Linked DNA regions of Nothobranchius furzeri. The protein of the gene in region 1 purifies or fractionates together with the protein of each later gene. This does not show direct contact. Links are inferred from orthologs where the notes say so. Each region holds a gene or a part of one and is shown on either strand. Other genes may lie near its edges.

The links. Proteins that work in one complex are often made in the same cells at the same time.
Region 2: the proteins of exoc1 (region 1) and exoc3 purify together in Homo sapiens (affinity purification with mass spectrometry; 5 studies listed by BioGRID and IntAct, counting the BioPlex papers as one, with this or other methods). This does not show direct contact. The link is inferred for Nothobranchius furzeri from reciprocal best matches to the Homo sapiens genes EXOC1 and EXOC3.
Region 3: the proteins of exoc1 (region 1) and exoc7 purify together in Homo sapiens (affinity purification with mass spectrometry; 4 studies listed by BioGRID and IntAct, counting the BioPlex papers as one, with this or other methods). This does not show direct contact. The link is inferred for Nothobranchius furzeri from reciprocal best matches to the Homo sapiens genes EXOC1 and EXOC7.

Annotation. Positions count from the first base shown.
Region 1 is NC_091748.1:40,504,313-40,507,961, forward strand, and holds part of exoc1 (exocyst complex component 1), read left to right. Parts: intron 1-198; coding exon 199-426; intron 427-514; coding exon 515-647; intron 648-734; coding exon 735-844; intron 845-1,840; coding exon 1,841-1,990; intron 1,991-3,152; coding exon 3,153-3,261; intron 3,262-3,649.
Region 2 is NC_091751.1:65,615,954-65,620,035, reverse strand, and holds the start of exoc3 (exocyst complex component 3), read left to right. Parts: upstream 1-1,182; 5' UTR 1,183-1,203; intron 1,204-1,252; exon of another isoform or gene 1,253-1,399; intron 1,400-1,865; 5' UTR 1,866-1,925; coding exon 1,926-2,069; intron 2,070-2,235; coding exon 2,236-2,455; intron 2,456-3,045; coding exon 3,046-3,218; intron 3,219-4,082. UniProt on the Homo sapiens protein: Component of the exocyst complex involved in the docking of exocytic vesicles with fusion sites on the plasma membrane.
Region 3 is NC_091756.1:53,832,335-53,836,540, reverse strand, and holds the start of exoc7 (exocyst complex component 7), read left to right. Parts: upstream 1-1,306; 5' UTR 1,307-1,442; coding exon 1,443-1,502; intron 1,503-1,662; coding exon 1,663-1,728; intron 1,729-2,365; coding exon 2,366-2,550; intron 2,551-2,646; coding exon 2,647-2,752; intron 2,753-4,206. UniProt on the Homo sapiens protein: Component of the exocyst complex involved in the docking of exocytic vesicles with fusion sites on the plasma membrane.

The sequences.
Region 1 (3,649 bases):
GAAGATCAGCTTTGGAGCCGGGATGTTTGTTCTCACGGTGTGGGGGCTTGTTCCCACACCTGCCCAGTAATAAAATGCAATTGATGACTTTAGTTGTTGATGGCAGCGAGCGGTTGGATTTAAAATGATGACTTTAGTCGTCAATAGCAGTTAATGAGTTAACCAAAAAGGCATCTCTGGATCTGTGTCTTCCTAAAGGCCAACATCCAGTCCATCATGGCATCAGAGAAGCAGGTCAATATCCTGATGCAGCTGCTGGATGAAGCTCTGACAGAGGTGGACACCATTGAGGGAAAGCTGAGCAGCTACGAGGAGATGCTCCAGAGCGTCAAGGATCAGATGGATCAGATCTCCCAGAGCAACCGTCTCATCCAGATCAGCAACACCAACAATAACAAACTGCTGGATGAGATCCAGTTCTTAGTGGTGAGGCGCTATAACACACAGTTGTGTGTGTGTGACACTGAGTCACAGTGTGTTGTTAGATGACTCTGGTTCCTCTCTCCTCCTGTAGAACTACATGGATTTGTCAAAGGGGCACATCAGGGCTCTGCAGGAAGGAGACCTCACCTCCCCTAAAGGGATAGAGGCCTGCATCAATGCTTCTGAAGCTCTGCTGCAGTGCATGAGCGTGGCTCTGCGGCCAGGTATTGAGTAACTTCTGCAGAAATAAATTGACTTTGTAGTTTTTTTTTAGTGTTCAATCAAATGAAAGTGTACGTTACTTCCTTCAGGTCATGAAAAGCTGATGGCTGTGAGGCAGCAGCAGCTTCTGTTTGCTGAGCTGAGAGACACGTTTGCTCGCCGCCTCACCAATCACCTTAACAATGTGTTTGTTCACCAGGTGAGTGCTCAGTCTTGTCCTTTACAACCGTGTTCCTACTCAGGCTGGACAATTTCTTTCATGTGGATTTTCTGTACCTTAACTTAAAAGCAACAACATGTTAAATGCTGCTGTAGCATGACTGGCTGTGGCTGGTCACATGACCTTATGTCATTTTTATCAGCTTTGTTACACAGAAACAACAAAGCTACACAAAATATCAGATATCTGGTTTGACGTGGCTTTTTTTCTGTTTATATACATCAGAGAATAAGCACTATGAAGCTACGGGGACAGAAATCAGACTCAGCTTTTGATCAGCTTGAACAATGAAGACCTATGGTCTCCTGGCTCTTTTTTCTCCTTGTGAGCTTCCTTTTTAGCTGACGCTCTCTTCCTGGGCTTCCTGTGTTATTTTCCTAGCAGCTGTGTCCCTCCCGCTCACGACTTTCCTTGTTGCTCACTTTGAATCATCCCACTCTGCTCTCTGTCTCTGTGTCAGTTCAACCACTTCAGTCATTTCAAAATGACCATCCCTCAGTATTATAGGTCCTCCTGTCTGTCACTTCCAGTGAGTACCCTCACAGCAACCCCCCACCTGGCCTCTTCTCGCTGTTTGATCTCTCACTGCTCACTCAATGAGGCTTCTTCCTCCAGCGTTTTCTAATGCATGAGGTAGATTTCTAACTTCTTAACATCCCTTGTCTGATGAGGAGCTGATGAGGCTGTGTCCATCCTTCGTCTCCTTCACCAGCTGACTCAGCTGAGGGCTTTTCATGTTTGCGTTCTCACATGGCTCACATCACAGAAGGCTGTGCATGTCTTGTACTAAATGAAGTCAAGAACACACGTGCTAGTCCTGTGAGGGAGTAAGGGGAAGCATCAAATCCTCAGAGGTATAAAATCTGTGAGTTTGTGATAAACAGCAAGCTGGAGTGTGTGCATTTCTGGATGAAAATGGATTTTACACTCCTATAACGTGTTGTTCTTCTGACCCTAACGCTTGTTTTTCTGAAGGGTCATGATCAGAGCTCCACCTTACCTCAGCATGCAGCTGAACTCACCCTGCCCAAACACAGCCCCCTCCACAGGGACCTGCTGCGCTACGCCAAGCTCATGGAGTGGCTGAAGAACACCCACAGGGAGAAGTACGAAGGCCTGTCCAGGGTCAGTCTGGTAGTTTTTAAAAATATTTATTTTAAGAAGGAAAATCTGTGGCAAATGTATATGACGTCTGCCAAAAACATCTTACTGCTTTCCTAGTGGTTAAATATGCAAATGTTTGAAAATAGAGATGATATACCAGTGAGCCAAAGCATCAGGCCAGTGTTTACCATTTTTATATCTTACATTAGTCCATATACCTCTTTAGGAGAGCTGATTTTATAACGGACGTGCACAGGCAGCCCGGTGCTGCTGCTAAATGTTATTAAAGGTTCCATATCGTGCTATTTTAAACCTCTGAGAGCAAAGGTAGGCTCAGTTCATGATAAAAGATTACTGTTGGCACTACTGAGGTGTCACTTATTTTAAATACGAGTTATTTCCATCAGTGTGAATTTAAACCAGCAAATAAAACATGTTTCAGTGAAACTCCGCCCACGCCTACTCTGACCAAAGGGCCTACAGACGAGTCTCTTGCCGCGTTGGCTACGGTAGTTCAGAGGTCTGCCTGGCAGCTCGTGTGCTGACGTGGGTTTGAATCCCGGCGGTGTCGGCAGTAATTTATTAAGCAGTTTTTATATTTTAGTTTTATTGATTATTCCGTGAAAAACGAGAGGTATTTTTCATTAAGAAACAAAAATATCACATTCTAAAAAGTTCCAAGAAGTGGATTTTCCATGATATGGCCCTTTAAATGAAAACATCTGCCTACAAATGCTTCGTAACATTATTTTTTACAGACATTTTTTATTTACTCACTTTAAATGTAACATGTGCTCAGTTTATTGATGTAAATACTAAACAGTGCAAACAAACTAAGATTCAGCAGTTGATTAAATGTGGGTTTCGAGCACTGATGGTGGTGACGTTTTAGCATCCAGATAAGGTGGGGATCTGAAGCTGTTATCTTGTGGTGCTGGGACGCCGGTTCAATAATAAAAGCTTCTTGAATCTCGAAACATCTCGATATTTACCATAAAAGTTGGCCTAAAAACGTCACCCGACAGCTGACTATGACCTCTGTAGTTCGACATCGGTATTGACATCATAGAAACTCAAATCGGCTGATCTCTGTTGAATAATGGCAGCTACTTTGTGCTGTCCAGCTGGTATTGTGTGTGTGTTTACGTCGTACATGTGAACAAATATCCTTTCTCCTTTTCAGACCTACGTCGACTACATGAGCAGACTGTATGAGCGAGAAATCAAAGACTTCTTTGAGGTTGCTAAGATAAAGATGGCGGGTACCTCCAAAGAAGCAAAGGGAAAGTTTGGTAAGAGTCCTGCTGTGAAGCACACCTCTGTGATGGAGGTAATGTCGGCGTCTGACTGATAGTTTTCTGCAGGATCATTTCTTTTTGTCTCTAATTTATGTATAGAATATTTATGATGAAAGGGTTAAACAGAGCTTGTCATGTACAGCCTTCCCACAACATATTTAAACAAAATCATAAATGCCTCCCAAGTGTTGAAGCTGTATTTGATGTTTTATCTTTCAATAATGCTCCTCTTCCCTTTGCACCAGACGTTTTATGTCAGATCTATTTATTATCTGAATAGCAGCCTTGGTTAAGCTTTAGTCTTGGCAGAGTCATAGGAGCCTATATTAGCTTTTGTCTCAGAAAACAAAAGCAAGACTTGGTTTTCCAAAGGTTGGTCCAA
Region 2 (4,082 bases), on another chromosome or scaffold:
TAGTGGCCTTGACGGCCAAGAAGAAAATAAACTGCGGTTAAAAATGAAGATGATTTTTGTTTAAATTCCTTCATTTCTGTGGTTCTATTATTTTATTCGCTCCAGAAAGTCTGACGGACCTCCTCTGAAACCTCTGGACTACAAAGGGCCTGGACGTCAGACTCAGACCATCACAACTCCCATCAACCCTGGGGAATCTTCTGTGGAATGTCCCGTTTGTCACTAGTGGACCTTTTAGTTACTCACCCTCCTGATCCGCGTACGTTTCCCCATCATGCAAACCAAGATATTTCAAACCTACAACTGTGATAATGACTTATGAAAGCCCCACATTTAAAATCTCAATCAATCAGAATGTTGTGAAAAGGTTCGATATTCTAGACTCAAAGTGTCACGCTCTAATCAGCTGTTGAATCCAGAACCCCTGCAGAGAGCCTTTAGATTGCCTCTCAGTCTAAAATGGATTACTGAAATAAAGAGACTTTTACACCATAGTCTTATTTTTCCAGTTTCACCAGCTATGATATTTGAAATATTGCCCTCCTGTGACCTCTCACCTCCTCCTCCTCCTCCTGTCGTTTCATGATGCTGAGTGTGTCAGGCTGCAAAAAAAAAAAAAAAAAAACAGTGTAGGATGAAATGGATAGTTATTGTGGGAAAATAAGTGGACAAAATGGTGAAGGAAATATTAGAGAAGAAATTTCATCCAATCATTGAAACGACTATTAAAAATAGGGATACATGTTTAATAAAGGATTAAACTTGGTTTTACAAGAAAAACAAAGAAAGGTTGAAAACAAGCACCCCGGAATCAAACTGTTAAAAATAAAACATAGTAATTAATGTATGCCACCTATTAAGGTGAAATCCTGGTCCAAAGCTATTCTGTTATTGTTTTGCTGTCTTCCCAGTTACTTTTGTTGGGTCATGTAGAGGATGTGTCCTCGGGGCGGTGATGGACGTCTCATACAGGACACCGACTGCTAGATGGCGCTATTTACCTTCAGGCAATGGAGGTGGCTGCCGTTAAACGAGAAGGAGAAGGAGAATCTGGCCCTTGGAGGTGTGACCGTTGCAGGGACAAAGTTGAGCACGTGCCGGTGAGGTGTCGGGGATATGGGAAAGTCTGGTGGGACCACAGCTGGGAAGGGGGGGTGCCAGTTGGACGTCAGGGAAATGTGGAGGAGTCCACACTTCAGGTCGGTAGGTGGCGGTAATAAACCTAAAAGTTGCTTGTTAACCGCCATAAAACGATAGAAGAAGAAGAAGAATCTAGCCCTTGGTGGGCGGAGCCAAAAGCAGGAAGTGGAACGTAAACATCAAAACGGCTGTCTAGCTTTATCGATTTTGAACTTTAATTGTATCTGTTGTCTCGTCGTTCTTTCCTGAACGTCTAAAGGTAGGAGTTTGTCTCGATTGTTAATGACGTTTTGTTTTAATAAACCCGAAATATCCTAAACATTTCACCGTCCGTGGTTAGCATAGCGGTGCTAATGACAACCGAGAGGAACTGCTATGGTTCCGGTACCGAATGCGTTCTATGGAAGTGTTTTCCAAGCTGATGTTGGTCCTGAAGGTGGTAGCTAACACATCCAGAAGGGACCCTAAAGCTCCGGTCGCTGCTGGCTATCTTGGTCCTCAGCAAAAACCTTTGTGTCCACCATTGTGTCCACTGTCCCAGCTGTTAGACTGCTGTGTCCACTGTCCCCGCTGTTAGACTGCTGTGTCCACTGTCCCCGCTGTTAGACTGCTGTGTCCACTGTCCCCGCTGTTAGACTGCTGTGTCCACTGTCCCCGCTGTTAGACTGCTGTGTCCACTGTCCCTTCCATCAGCCCGAGTGATGTGCTGTTCTCTCCTATTTCAGGAGGACTCTCATTGAGTCCCCAGAGCTAGTCCCACAGAGCTGGTCCAGCTTAAGGACAACATGGAAGAGACGAGTCGGGAGGCTGTAGCCACTGCAGTGCAGCGTGTTGCTGGGATGCTGCAGAGGTCAGACCAGCTGGATAAAGTGGAGCAGTACCGGAGGAGAGAAGCCCGTAAGAAGGCCTCCGTGGAAGCCAGGCTGAAGGTAACCAGTCCACAGACAGGTGCTGTTGAGATGGAGGGGGCGGGGCTTGATGTGCTCTGGAGAACCAGTATTTACTGTGTTCAGAGGTGTTGTTCTACTTAATCATGTGCTGCAGTCAGGAAGCAAGTGAGTGACAAGTTTAGGGATTGTGTGTGATGTCCTCCAGGCAGCAATCCAGTCTCAGCTGGACGGCGTTCGAACAGGACTGACCCAGCTGCACAGTGCCCTGCTGGATGTCAAGGACATCCAGAGTTCACTGGCTGATGTGAGCAAAGACTGGAGACAAAGCATCAACACTATCGAGAACCTAAAAGATGTCAAGGATGCTGTAGTTCAACACAGTCAGCTGGCCTCTGCTGTGGAGAACCTCAAAAACATCTTCTCTGGTGAGTCTGGTCCAATCACACCCACCCCCAACCTCCGCAGCCCCAAACAACGCAGGAGAGCCAAATGAGCCGCTTTGATTAGACCCCCCCTAGCAACAATAGAAGATGAAATCTGATTGGATGGAACAGTGAAAATCCACAGACATGTAGCAGCCATAAGAAACATTCCTAAAATGAGAAAATAAAAACAAAAGAAAGTAATTCCATTAAATTTCATAGAACAAATATCATTTAAGTTGTAGGTGTACCATACCACCTTTATTTCTAAGGCACGTTTCAAAAACGACATGTGAGTCGACCAAAGTGCTGCACAAAACAATCAAAAAACAACATCACAATACAGACAAGAACAATCAGTAAAACACAATAAAAGCACATTAAGAGTCATTGTCCAAAAACCAATCGGTACAAGTGAGTCTTCAGCCGAGATTTACACTGGTGATGCTGGCCCAGACTGCACACCACTGGTCTACATAAATCATCTCTGCATCACACACACATTGTCCAGAATGCAGCAGCTGGACTTTAAACTGGAACTGAGCATTTGTATTGGTGGATCTCTTGATCTGATGTTTTTGTCGTGTCACCAGTCCCGGAGATCGTGGTGGAGACCCAGCAGCTGATAGAACAGGGGGAGCTGCTGCAGGCCCACAGGAAGCTCATGGAGCTGGAGTGTTCGCGGGACGACCTCATGTACGAGCAGTACCGTATGGACAGCAAGAACACCAGCGACATGCACCTCATCTCCATCTATTTTGAAGATGTAAGTTCAGTTGATCCCATCAACAGTTCCTCGGGTCATCTCTGGAAATCTGAAGCTTTCAGATCAGCTGTTTAAATTCAAACAAAAAGTAACACCTGATCCTGGTGTAATGATGGTCAACAGAAACGTGCGGAGTCGCTTAAAATCTCAAAGAATTCATTCATTCATCTTCTGTAACTGCTGCTTTCTGTTAAGGTGACAGCAGCATCTGATTCAGCCCTCAGCCTCCTGCTGGGGTTATCATTATCAGCAGTAATAAAACACACATCTCAAATATTATTGGAAGTTTAGGATTTTTTTTTAAATGTTTTATTATACAGGTCCTTCTAAAAAATTAGCATATTGTGATAAAGTACATTATTGTCTGTAATGTACTAATAAACATTGGACTTTCATATATATTAGATTCATTACACACAACTGAAGTAGTTCAAGCCTTTTATTGTTTCTAATATTGATGATTTTGGCGTACAGCTCATGAAAACCCAGAACTCCTATCTCCTAGCATATTTTATCCGAACCATAAAAGAAAAGTGTTTTTTATACAAAAAAAGTCAAACTTCAAATAATTATGTTCAGTTATGTACTCAATACTTGGTCGGGAGTCCTTTTGCAGAAATGACTGCTTCAGTGCAGCGTGGCATGGAGGCGACCAGCCTGTGGCACTGCTGAGGTGTTATGGAGGCCCAGGATGCTTCGATAGCGGCTTAAGCTCATCCAGAGTGTTGGGTCTTGTGTCTCTCAACTTTCTCTTCACAATATCACACAGATTCTCTACGGGGTTCAGGTCAGGAGAGTTGGCAGGCCAGATGAGCACCATAATACCATGGTCAGTAAACCATTTACTAGTGGTTTTGGCACTGT
Region 3 (4,206 bases), on another chromosome or scaffold:
GCGTTTGTATGAATACATTTTGCATCCATAACAGTGTGTTCAGATTTGTAAATATGTATACAAACTATGAGAACCAACTTCTTGTCTGCAAATACATTTGTAATTTTTGCGAATGGTGTGTTTTTCTTATTAACCCATCAAAACAATCCTATTAGTCATGTTAAACACACCTGTGACCAGTGTAAATCCAAATGATCTCCCCTGGAGGGAGTCAATTTCCCTCAGCTTGTAATGCTGTAGTTAGCTGGGGTAAGCACTCCACAACTATAGTGTTTATAAAAAAAACTTTTATTGTGTTAAGATGAAGGAAAGGCATGTTTGGGTGAGTTTCGTTCTTGCTGACCCCTAAATGTCATTCAGGACTATTCAATTCTGCTTCTGGATTGCTGGTATCCAGCATGTTTTAGTTTGAACTGCTGCAGCACACCTGATTTCAATCAGCAGGTGATTAGCAGGCTTCTGCATAGCCTGATGAACTGCTGCACAGGTGATGCAATCTCTGAATCAAGTGTGTTGGAGCAGAGAAATTACTAAAACATGCTGGATACCGGCCCTCCAGACCCGGAATTGAATATCCCAGCTATAGGTTTTTATTTGGAAATTTTACAGGAGTAGCAAATAAGATAATGTAATGTTATGAATGTAGTTCTCGGTTGTTTTTCTACTCTTCCACTTTCATAATAATATACCAAAAAGAATAAAAACAAACACAATTTAATTGAAATAAATAGGCTAATATTTAGAATCAAAGTGAAGTTCCGTTATTACTCCACTGGAGGTCGACAACTCGTTCACTGCAGTTTCATTAAAACGGTTATACTTTTATTTGCTGGACTCGCTCTAAATGATTTGCTGTTAATAATTAGTGTAAAGACATGTTTCCTAATTCAAGTATCGTGGTTTAAATTCAATTCAGATACCGGAAAAGACTAACACGCCTCACCGGATACTTTCTAAACATGCCTTCAAAATAAACTCAAACATTTATGATGTTTACAAGTAAACAAATTAAACTACAAACAAATTGCGAAACCTTAACACCATTAAACATACTCAAATTTCTAATGTTCAGTTTTACATTTAATAGCTCAAGGCTTTAAAAATATCGGATGAAAGCTAAGTGCTCCCCTGCCGAAACCTTTCTATGTAGTGTACCCCGGAGTTTTATCTGATATAAATAGACACAGATATTTAGATCTAGAGTCAATATTTGATGTCAAATGCTCAGTAAAATGCATTTTCCGATCTGATCTCCAAGTGTTGATTTATTCTGAAATGACAGCCGGAAGTTACGGCTGTTGGGGCTGTCCAACCTAGTTTGTGATTGCTACCTTTAGCTTTTAGGAACTGTGGCTTTTGCTAGTTTTTTTTAATGACCTAAACAGGTCTGTAATCGCTCATTCCTCCTTGGAGACAGCCCTTTGACGGGAACTAACTTCAGGATGATTCCTACTGAGGACGCGTCCGCCAGGAAGCGGGAGATTGAGGAGAAACTGAAGCAGGTCAGACTCCGATGGACAGGAAGGGGCTTTATTCTGCCCAATTCGGTGCTTAAAACGAACAATAACAGAGTCCAGACACCAGCTGAGAGCAAACTCTGATCGTTCTTAGTGTTTTCAGACTGTTTGTGGTGAGCTGTTGATTTTCTGTGGGATGTTACAGGAGCAGGAGACGCTGTCATTCATCCGAGAGAACCTGGAGAAGAGCGATCAGCTGACCAAAGGCATGGTAAGAAAACAACACAACATCCGGGTCACCTAACGAACAAACGTTTCAAAAGTTACCAATAAAAAATTATAAGGTCAAAGGTCAGTCTAGGTTTCAAGGGACACGTTTCGTTTAATATACAGTTATTAAAGCGACCAATCAAATAAAATCCCGTTTAAAAATTAAAGCAGAAAACATAAAAAAAGATAAACATTTAAGATTGAAAGTTGAAAATAGTGACTTTACATGTGTCTGAAATGTTTCAATGGATGTTGTTTATTTGAAACTGCTATTTAATCGTAAATTGTTAGTTTTTTGTCTGTTGAAACCTTTTTATTATTTTGTATTTTATTTATCTGAAGCCCACTTTGACTAAACTAAGACAATTGTTTCCGTTCATGTGGGACACTGCTAAGAGTTTATTATATATTATATATAAGTATTTATGGTTGTAATCTAAACTCGATTTCTAATTTTATTATACATGAATCTATGACTTTTTTTTTCAATAAAAGCACAAACTATCTGTTAGGTTCCAATGATTTAAAGGGATTTTGTTCTAAACACAAGTTTTCTTTTGTCTGAACCGAACTAGAAGCCCTATATTTATATTCTCAGTGTTTTGAACCTTTTGTTATTTTCTTTCTCATCCTGAAAGGTTTCCATCCTGTCATCGTTTGAGAGCCGCCTAATGCAGCTGGAGAACTCCATCATCCCGGTCCACAAGCAGACAGAGAACCTGCAGCGACTGCAGGACAATGTGGACAAAACTCTTTCCTGCATGGATCACGTCATTAGTTATTACCACGTGGCCAAAGACACTGACAGGATCATTCGAGAGGGGTGAGGACTGTCTCTGGAAACATTAAATGGTTCTGCTACTGGTATTGAGTCATAACGTGTGTGTGCGTGTGCGTGCGTGCGCTTGTTGTGTCTCAGACCTGCAGGCAGACTGGACGAGTATCTCGCTTGTATCGCAAAGATCCAGAAAGCTGTGGAATACTTTCAGGACAACCACCCTGACAGCCCTGAGCTCAACACAGTGGTACGATCTCATCCTGAATCTGTTTGTCCTGCTACTAGGACACATTTGACTGAATCCTCTCATTGGTGCTAAAATAATTTATTCTGGTGGTGGAAAAAAACAGCCGAAAGTCCAAATCAAAAATAGAGTATGACCTTCAGAACTCCTGAGAAACTGTTGATCAAGATAACTTTAAAGGGAACATAACTTTTTTTCTTAAATTATAACAGTTCTTTGGTTGATACCAAATATGTTTATGAAGTTTTTTTGCACCAAATCCCTCTTACGTTAAGTGATTTCAGTAGTTTTATTCTTGACAGTTTTAGTATCTTCCAGAGTGAGCCATTACGTTGCTTTAGGAAAACAAGCTGTAATTGGCCACGCCCACCCATCCCACTCACTCAGGCTGCTATTAGCTGAGAAGCTTCGATATCCAGGAAAGGATCAGAGTAACCCCTACTGCTCAATGGAAGCATCAGCACTGCAGAAGAGCAGCAGAGCGTCACTGCTTCAAATAAAACCCATTCAAATCTATGGGGGTGATTCAAACCAGCCGCGACTCGGCCATTTTCAGATGCATCTCAGAAGTGGCACACCGCACCGCTAAAGATGGGATCGTGTTCTATTTTTGCCGCGAGCCGCTTCCGGGATGCAACAATTAATGTAGTGCTAGACAGGAAATCACACACGATTTCAGTGTAAAACCCCAGTAATTTTCAAAATAAATGTATATTGCAGCGATGCGACTTCACATTTATGTAGATTACATCAATACAAGCGACCCAGCGGCTTATTTACTCCCTGCATCATTCCAGAAGTGCAGCTGTGTGTTTTTTATGGCTTTTGTCCTGGCAGTTGAGAGGAACAACATCATATATGTCAACAAACGTGATTTCCTTCTTTTTGGTTTAATGGCGGACGACATAAACTTGAGGGATTTTGTGATCTCGCGAGTTAAGCAAGGAGGATGGTGGAAGTCTCGAGGGATTTTGTGATTCCGCTGGTTGAGCGAGGAGCACAGCAGAGAAGCCGCTTTGCAGCTGATACTCTCCCGGTATGCTCTGGAGTGCAGCAGTTGTTGCAAGTAAGTCTTTCTGCTGCTGCTCCGTGCCACAGATGCTTCCAGTGTGCAGTAGGGGTAAGCCACTGGTCCTGCAGCAGCAGTTCTCTCTTGCACATGAGGGGTAGTTCTAATCTACTTTCCCTGTTTGTGACATCACAATTGGGGGATTTTTGAAACAGCTTTTTTTAGGCACTTCATTTTTTAAACCAAACGCTGACAGAAAAGAGATGGATGGATTTTTCATGTTTAGAGTGTTCATTTACAGTTCAGTTCATTTTTATTTCAAAGATTTCACACATGTATCATTACAAAATATAATTCCATTATTTGTTTGAGAAGGAGTAGGCAGAAGTATTTACTTATTTGTCCCTACCCCCAAGTTTTACCTCTTATTCATTTAATTTTCTTTCAG